Linked DNA regions of Daphnia pulex. The main gene of each other region encodes a partner of the protein of the gene in region 2 in a complex. Links are inferred from orthologs where the notes say so. Each region holds a gene or a part of one and is shown on either strand. Other genes may lie near its edges.

Region 1 (3,803 bases), on a different chromosome or scaffold from region 2:
GGCGGAAAACGAGAAAAATTTGGCTGCTGGAGCACTTCACGTTGATTACCTACATCCTGTTATCCGCATGGCAGTGGAGGAGTTCCGAGAAACATACAGGTGTGTACACGAAAATTTCCCAAACTAGATGACTTAACTGTTTTCTTTACTTCAGAAAGGATATTTGGGGTCACAATGGCCCATTGCTCCTGACTCGCGTAATGACAAAATGGTGTTTGACAGAAAACATTGCCGAAATGAATTCTGATAGCTGCTACGGTTTTGAGATTCTTCCTCCAAAAACATTTTATCCAATCGAATGGCCTAAATGGTTGAGATATTTTTTGGAACAAGATATTACGTGGGATAATGACACAATTGGAATTCACGTATGGAACCAAAAGAGCGCTGGCCAAGCAGTTTCAAAAACTTCCGAACAAGTATACACCAAACTTGCTCGTTCCCAATGTCCTTCGATTTTTGCGATGGCTCCTAATGTGTTTTAATAGTTCGTATTTCTACAGCGGTAGAACCGTCTCTCAACATTTGGTTTCCTAATTCTTATTTTCAAGGTTCATTCTTCAAAGAATACAAGTTTTTCTTAAATACATAAATGCATTGCGCTGCGACTAAAAAATGCCAGCAAAACTTTCTAGTATCAGCATATCCATAATTGTTGTTGGCAATAGAAAATTACTGAAGATCCATCAGCAATTAACAAATTGTTTTTTTTTTAAATGTAAAATTAGTATTGCTCTTGGTTTAAGATGCATTGTGAATCGCGTTTTGAAACATGAATATCATGGTTGAAAACATTTGAGGCAAGAGTGAATGTAAAAACTGTTATAACCTGAGGTTTGACTGTTCACTCAATGGGGAGTTTAGACCAGTCAACTGGTGTTTTGTTTTGCTTGAGCAAAAGTTCATTACATTTTGAAAAATGTTTACATCCTAAGAATCCGCGATGAGCAGATAGTGGAGAAGGATGAGGGGCATTCAGCAAGTGGTGTTTTTTCTACAAAAAAAGAAAAGAAAAAAAAACATTAATTAAGCATGAAGTCGTAAACAAATGAATTGGTTACCTTGTCTACTACTAAAGCTTTCTTCTGGGCATATGCACCCCAAAGAAGGAAGACAACACCTTGGCAGTTACTGCTAATCCACTGGATCACGGCATCCGTCAGAGTTTCCCAGCCTTTGTCTTTGTGCGAATTTGCTGCGCCCGATCGGACCGTTAAGCCAGCGTTAAGAAGGAGCACACCTAAATATGTGAAATATCAATATAACAATTTTACGTGACTCTTATTTGAAGATTAAGACAAACGTTAAACTGTGATTGATTTTGTTTAAATGTCTACCTTGTTTGGCCCATCCAGTGAGATTACCATGTTTAGGAATATTAAAACCATCAATATCTGAAGCCAGCTCTTTAAAGATGTTTACCAAACTTCAAATAGTTTTGCAAAAATTAGACACAGTAGTTTTTAAAGTAAAAATTTTAAATATTACCTTGGGGGAGGAGGAACTCCTTTCAAAACACTGAAACACAAACCTTTTTATGAAACAAAAATGTAATGTCAATTCTTTATCTTAAAAGCCATAAAAGTAATTATTTTTTACTATACCATGAGCTTGACCAGGACCGTGATATGGATCTTGACCAATAATAACAACTTTGATATTTTGAATATCACAGAAATGGGTCCAAGACCACACAAGATGTTCTGGAGGGAAAATGGTGGACTTTGATCTTTCAGAACCCAGAAATTTACTAAGCTAAAAACAAAATAATGTAGGTAAATGAAAATAATTGTTATTCAAAGTTAAAAAAAAAGAAACATGTACATACTTCACCAAAGTAGGGTTTCTTAAACTCTGGCTCAATTGCTTGAAACCATGAATGACCAATACTATGGTGTAAGGCACAAGTATTCTTCGCTTGCAATTTTATTTTCGCTAACAAGTGGTTAGTGCCCATTCTTTCTTTTTTTTCAGGAGTAACTACTTCAGTCTTCTCACCAGATTTTTCTCCAACAGGCTAAAAATGAATAGACTTTACAAAAAATACCAGGCATGTATACACAGAACAAAAAAACCTACTTTGTTTTCAATTTGAACATTCTTGGCTTCAGCTGTCTTATTGCCAGACACAAGTTCTGAGAATGTACGCTTCACACCTCCACTTTGAAGAGGTTTAAAAAAATGAGTCAAAGGTTTTTGAGGCGGCATGATTTCTGACTTCAAGAAGCAACTTTAGTTCATTGTAATCATGATTGTAATTAAACACCAAAGTCAAAATAATCGGGCGCGAAATTCACCTTTGGACCAATCTGAAATGAATACATTAAGGCCACCTACAGCAGAAGAATTTGACAAGATTGAGTGAGAAAAAATTCCCTGGTCAACGGAAGGGGCGCTGCCGCTGCCGCTGCCTGAAGAAGAGATTGTCAGCCTGGCCTGGTTATGTAGGAAACATCCGCATTCATTTGTTTTTTTTTTTTTTAGTAAGAGACTAAGAGGAGTAGTGAACACTGAACAGCTGTACTCAGCCCTGACTCAGCTTGTGTCAAAACAGAAGATACCAACAAATCTAAAGAATGTTAAAACCAAAAGCTCTTACTCAAGTCTTGTCTCAAGCAAACACTGGCGGAATCTTAAGCACTTTGTAATATGGCGTGATACCTTAAAATAGTTAACGATTGTTAGTTATTTTTATTTATTTATTATCTTAATTTGTTATGCAGGCTTTTAAATACGGAGGGGGCGTTGCTAGCTTACAGGTGAGCAAAATGTGTTAAAATGTTTTACATTTGTTTATAGTGTTTAAACAATTTTGTGGCTTTCAAGTGGTTATGGGGACAAGGATGCACGAGTGACAGCAGCGATAGCTAGCAACATTTGGTCAGCATATGCTAAAAATGGGAAAGTTGCCTTCAATGAAGATGTCCTGGAATGTGTTCTTCTTGATTGCATGGTATTATTCAATTTAAAGTTTAGTAAACACAAATATTAATTTTGCCAATGCCTTTAAAGGATGGGAAAGTGGTGATTGCCCAAGTTGCTAATTTACTTCTATGTCTCTATGCTAAAGAAAATGTGTGTTTTGGAATGCTTCATGCTAAAGCAAAGGCATTGGCAGACTATCTTGATTCTCCTCTTCGTCAAGTAGCAGCATCATGAACATTTTTTTATAATACAAATTTGGATCTCCTAAAATTTAATGAAGCTGTGAAGCAGAGTTGTATTGCACTTGTGAATAAAAAGCAACACTTGTGAACAAGAAGTGTCAAAATGGCTGCAACGTGGATAAAATCCCACAAGGCTGGTTCTCTGCATAAATTTAGTTCAGTATTTGGTTCCTGGTACAAAAATCCCATAGCTTATTACATTCTTAACCCTTTCTGCTGAAGCACCTAAATAAAGAAACAACATTTTTAAATGCTTCCATCAATAGTAAATTGCAGATACTTACTTTGGCTCTATCAGTAGGCTCTGTTTCTCTTTCTCTCTTGTCACACTCTCTTGATACAACACACAGGAATTCTGAATGGTCTTCATTCCCATAAGAGTACTGTGACCCAACATTTATTAGCTATATAAAAAAAAGATTAGAATAAATAGTCTGTAGTAACTAATAAGATTGTCTTGTGTGTACACACCTGCTCAAATTTCCATCCATCAGACATAGTTGAAACCATTTGAGTTAATTCATCCTCATGACACTGTAATACACGGTAAACTTGCTTCCTACTTTCCTTCTGTGGTACCTCATCTCTTAGTCTTATTTTATCTCTAATTAACTGGATGAGTTCAGTAATATTATA
Region 2 (3,377 bases):
CGGATGCATTTGTGCTCTTACGGATTTCGTATTTGTGGTACACGGTATTGAGCGTGGTGATCGTCTTAATCATTGGTACCATTGGAAGCATTTTGTCTGAGCCGCAAGATCCTGCAAAACTAAATCCCAAGTTACTTTACCGAGTAAATCATAACCGTCTATTAAAGTAAGATAACTTTAGCAAAACATTTTCTACATGTTAGCGAGTTTAGCTTTAATTTTTGAATCAATAATGTTATCATAGTAAAGCGGCACTCCAACCAAGTGATGAAACCGATGGCGCTACGGTTATTCGTAGGCAACGAAACGGGATATTACTGTGGGAACTTCCAAGAAGATTATCACCAATAATAGAAGTAAATTTGCCTGATACCTAACATTTACGTCTTCATTCTATGATGTAAATAACATTTTACTTCGAATGCATCACAAACACTTGCCATAGCAATTAGACATGATCCAGTTATCCGTGGTCATTATGTACCTGATATTTGAATATACTGAAAATGAATTATCCGATGTAGATCCGATGGATTTTAGACGATTTAAGCTTTTATGTTGAAAGACAGACAGAACTGAACCATTTCAAAACAGTTGGAATTAATAGCTTCAGGATAAATTCCGCAGACTGAGTCGACACAGTTTTGAGTATAATGTATCTATTCTAGTAGATATTTAATGAGAATGAAGGTACAGTACATCTTAATCTTGTTTAGCTATCGGTCGATTTGAAATGGTCTTCGTCCACCGTAGAGTAAATATGTCCCTCAGAACAAAGGAATTCCAAAGCAGCACTAATAAAAAATTTAAATTAAAATCAATGAAAACATGTTTGTCTTCCACATCAATACACTTACTCTACATCACGTGGGATCATTCTTCCTCTGACAGAATTGTAGATCTGCGACTTTTCCATGCCGGTTTCCGCTGTTGTTGCCTAAAAATAACATGGTTTTTTATTGTTTGAATTTGATCACATAGATGACAAATGAATCTACCTGAATGATGGTATAAACCATAGATTGAAAAGATGACAGTCCTGACATGATACCGTTTGCCACATTGGAAGTAGCTGAGGATGAAGAAGCTAAAGGCCCAGTCATTCCACCACCCATCACTGAGTTATTCATTGATTGTCCTGTTCCTTCTCCCTTTATAAATAAAAATCATTTACCTTTGTTCAAGCATTCATTTGAGTTGTTCATTACCATTTTTCTCTTCATCTGTCTCAACTTCATACGAACCCATTGCGTCTCTAGCAAGTGGGTTGTTATTTCGTTAGCAGTTGTTAGTTTCGCAACACGAAATGCCATTACGTGACGGCGATCCTGTGTCTGTCTAATAGATCCAACAACTCGACAAAAATTCCCTTCCACAACTTGAAAAGGTGATTGGACATTCTGCAAAAATAAATTGGAATAAATAATGAGTGAAAACATATGCAGAACACAATACATACCCCTTCACCCTCAATCCACTGAACAACTTCAATAGAACCTGTATCATCCCTTACAGTGTACGAAACATTAGTCTGTTTGGATTCAATCTGTTCGACAGTACCTACAAATGTAACCTAAAAGAGATAAGTTGTAAATCATAAGTAAATGTAACTCAAAGTGAAGATAAATATGGATACCATGTGGGCTTCAGTATCTTCTATCTTTAGTTTTTCATCAATTTCATCCAATATATCTTTGATATTAACTGGAATGATATTATGAGCCCGTTGAGCTCCACCCTGTGAATGAAACAAACATGAGAAAATGTCTATGAGATATTAAAAATGTCTTCAAACCTTCTTTTCTCCAGGAGTATTAACTGTGCCTCCTGGAGTTCCAGCATTAAAGAAACCACCGGCCATTGTTCCATTTCCAAAATCGCCTGTAATGGAAAGAATGTAAAGTTAATAACACAAAGCTTGACAAAATTGTATTTATTACTTGCTGATTGATCCCACATTATAGATTAATTCAATTATTCGTTTAAATTTGTCGTTCTCAAAACAAAACGTAATGCACGTGAATCACTTCAATCAGGTATGCAGACGTTGTAACTTGTACTGCGTCTATCCACTGTTTTCTTTTCTTTATAGATGGCGGGAAAACTAGTTTTCGCAATCCGATGTTGACGAGTTGGAAACATTTGATATCAATATTGAATTAAATGGCATCTTTTTACAATTTTTACTACAATTGATAATTTTAATTAACGTTTTTATTAACGTTTTTAAAATTTATTATATGCTTGTAAAAAAAATTAAAAGTTGAACCGGATGACTCTGGTTGAACAAATTGGCAATGCTTGTTTTCGCTTCAAAACGACAGACGTCAAAACGAATGTTTTCGTTTTTGTAAATTTGATTGAAAATAATTTGTGTTGCTTTTCTAGTTTTCTTTTTCAAGTTTTAGCCCATAGAAATAATCCTTTGAAATGTCGATAAATTTTGAAAATTCTAAAGACTTAGATGAAATGAGACAAATGAAACGAGAAGCGAGAGAGGCAATTCTTGCGAAGGTAATACACCATCACATTTCACCAATTTGATTTAATAGTATTTTACTGGTATACATTTGGTTTAGTTTATTTTTCTTTTGTTTTAGGCAGAAAGAGATTATGAGAAAAGGAAAGCTAAAAAAGAATTGGCCAAATTAAATGGTGAAGACAAATGGATGCTGCCTGAGTTGGATGCTCAATTGTCCGGTAAATCCAAAAAAAGTAAAAAAGAAAAAAAACATAAAAAGGATAAGAAACATAAAAAAAGCAAGAAAAAAGACAATTCCTCTGATTCTGATGAATGGGTAGAGAAAACATCTGAAACAACAGAACCCGCTTCATCTGCTCCTCTTGAGAGAGATGAATGGATGAGTGTGCCTTCTTTGCTTCCAATTTTCAGTAACAGTAGCATGCCTCCCAAACGAACATCCCTGAACAAGAATGAAGAAATTGCAAGAAAGACCATGATGGAAAAACCAGGGCAGTCAAGTAGAGAATTAAATCCATACTGGAAAAATGGAGGAACTGGTTTGCCACCTGAAAGAACTGAAGCAGAATCCTCAAAAAGGCATGATAGTCCTAATAGTCATGCAGTATCTTCCAATCCTTCAGAAAGAAAAAAACAAAGAACCTCAGATAGAGATTCCACACATGTTAGTAGCAGAGATAGATCAAGATCCCGAGAGCGAAAACATCCAGAAAACATTAGAAAATCATCAACCGTTCAAGAAAGATTCAGAAGACCAAGTGAGAGTGACGAAGTTGTTTCCCATACAAACAAACGGTTTTATTCTTCGCAACCAGGATGGAAGAAAAATGAAGCCAAATCAAGCAACCCAGTGGATTCATCGACTTCTTCGTCGTCTTCAGAAAGTGAAGAAGAA

The links. Proteins that work in one complex are often made in the same cells at the same time.
Region 1: the proteins of replication protein A 32 kDa subunit-like (region 2) and uracil-DNA glycosylase-like are in contact, whole or in part, in an NMR structure (PDB 1DPU), measured with the Homo sapiens proteins. The link is inferred for Daphnia pulex from reciprocal best matches to the Homo sapiens genes RPA2 and UNG. Residues at the interface, in NP_002937.1 of Homo sapiens: Ser250, Asn251, Glu252, Gly253, His254, Ile255, Tyr256, Ser257, Thr258, Val259, Asp260, Asp261, Thr267; in NP_550433.1 of Homo sapiens: Arg73, Ile74, Asn77, Lys78, Ala81, Leu82, Arg84, Leu85, Arg88.

The regions. Positions count from the first base shown.
Region 1 is NC_060023.1:11,049,326-11,053,128, forward strand, and holds uracil-DNA glycosylase-like, read right to left. Parts: upstream 2,382-3,803; 5' UTR 2,209-2,381; coding exon 2,080-2,208; intron 2,018-2,079; coding exon 1,829-2,017; intron 1,756-1,828; coding exon 1,605-1,755; intron 1,532-1,604; coding exon 1,489-1,531; intron 1,427-1,488; coding exon 1,338-1,426; intron 1,241-1,337; coding exon 1,062-1,240; intron 995-1,061; coding exon 845-994; 3' UTR 525-844; downstream 1-524. Other genes in the region: lactosylceramide 4-alpha-galactosyltransferase-like, read left to right, coding at 1-99, 155-485; ragulator complex protein LAMTOR2-like, read left to right, coding at 2,577-2,644, 2,724-2,759, 2,827-2,953, 3,013-3,159; BTB/POZ domain-containing protein KCTD5-like, read right to left, coding at 3,363-3,392, 3,452-3,571, 3,639-3,803. UniProt on the Homo sapiens protein: Uracil-DNA glycosylase that hydrolyzes the N-glycosidic bond between uracil and deoxyribose in single- and double-stranded DNA (ssDNA and dsDNA) to release a free uracil residue and form an abasic (apurinic/apyrimidinic; AP) site.
Region 2 is NC_060017.1:2,573,614-2,576,990, reverse strand, and holds replication protein A 32 kDa subunit-like, read right to left. Parts: upstream 2,103-3,377; 5' UTR 1,960-2,102; coding exon 1,941-1,959; intron 1,882-1,940; coding exon 1,796-1,881; intron 1,739-1,795; coding exon 1,637-1,738; intron 1,574-1,636; coding exon 1,460-1,573; intron 1,401-1,459; coding exon 1,209-1,400; intron 1,152-1,208; coding exon 999-1,151; intron 938-998; coding exon 858-937; intron 795-857; coding exon 713-794; 3' UTR 535-712; downstream 1-534. Other genes in the region: sodium-coupled monocarboxylate transporter 1-like, read left to right, coding at 1-166, 245-377; CWF19-like protein 2, read left to right, coding at 2,431-2,514, 2,601-3,377. UniProt on the Homo sapiens protein: As part of the heterotrimeric replication protein A complex (RPA/RP-A), binds and stabilizes single-stranded DNA intermediates that form during DNA replication or upon DNA stress.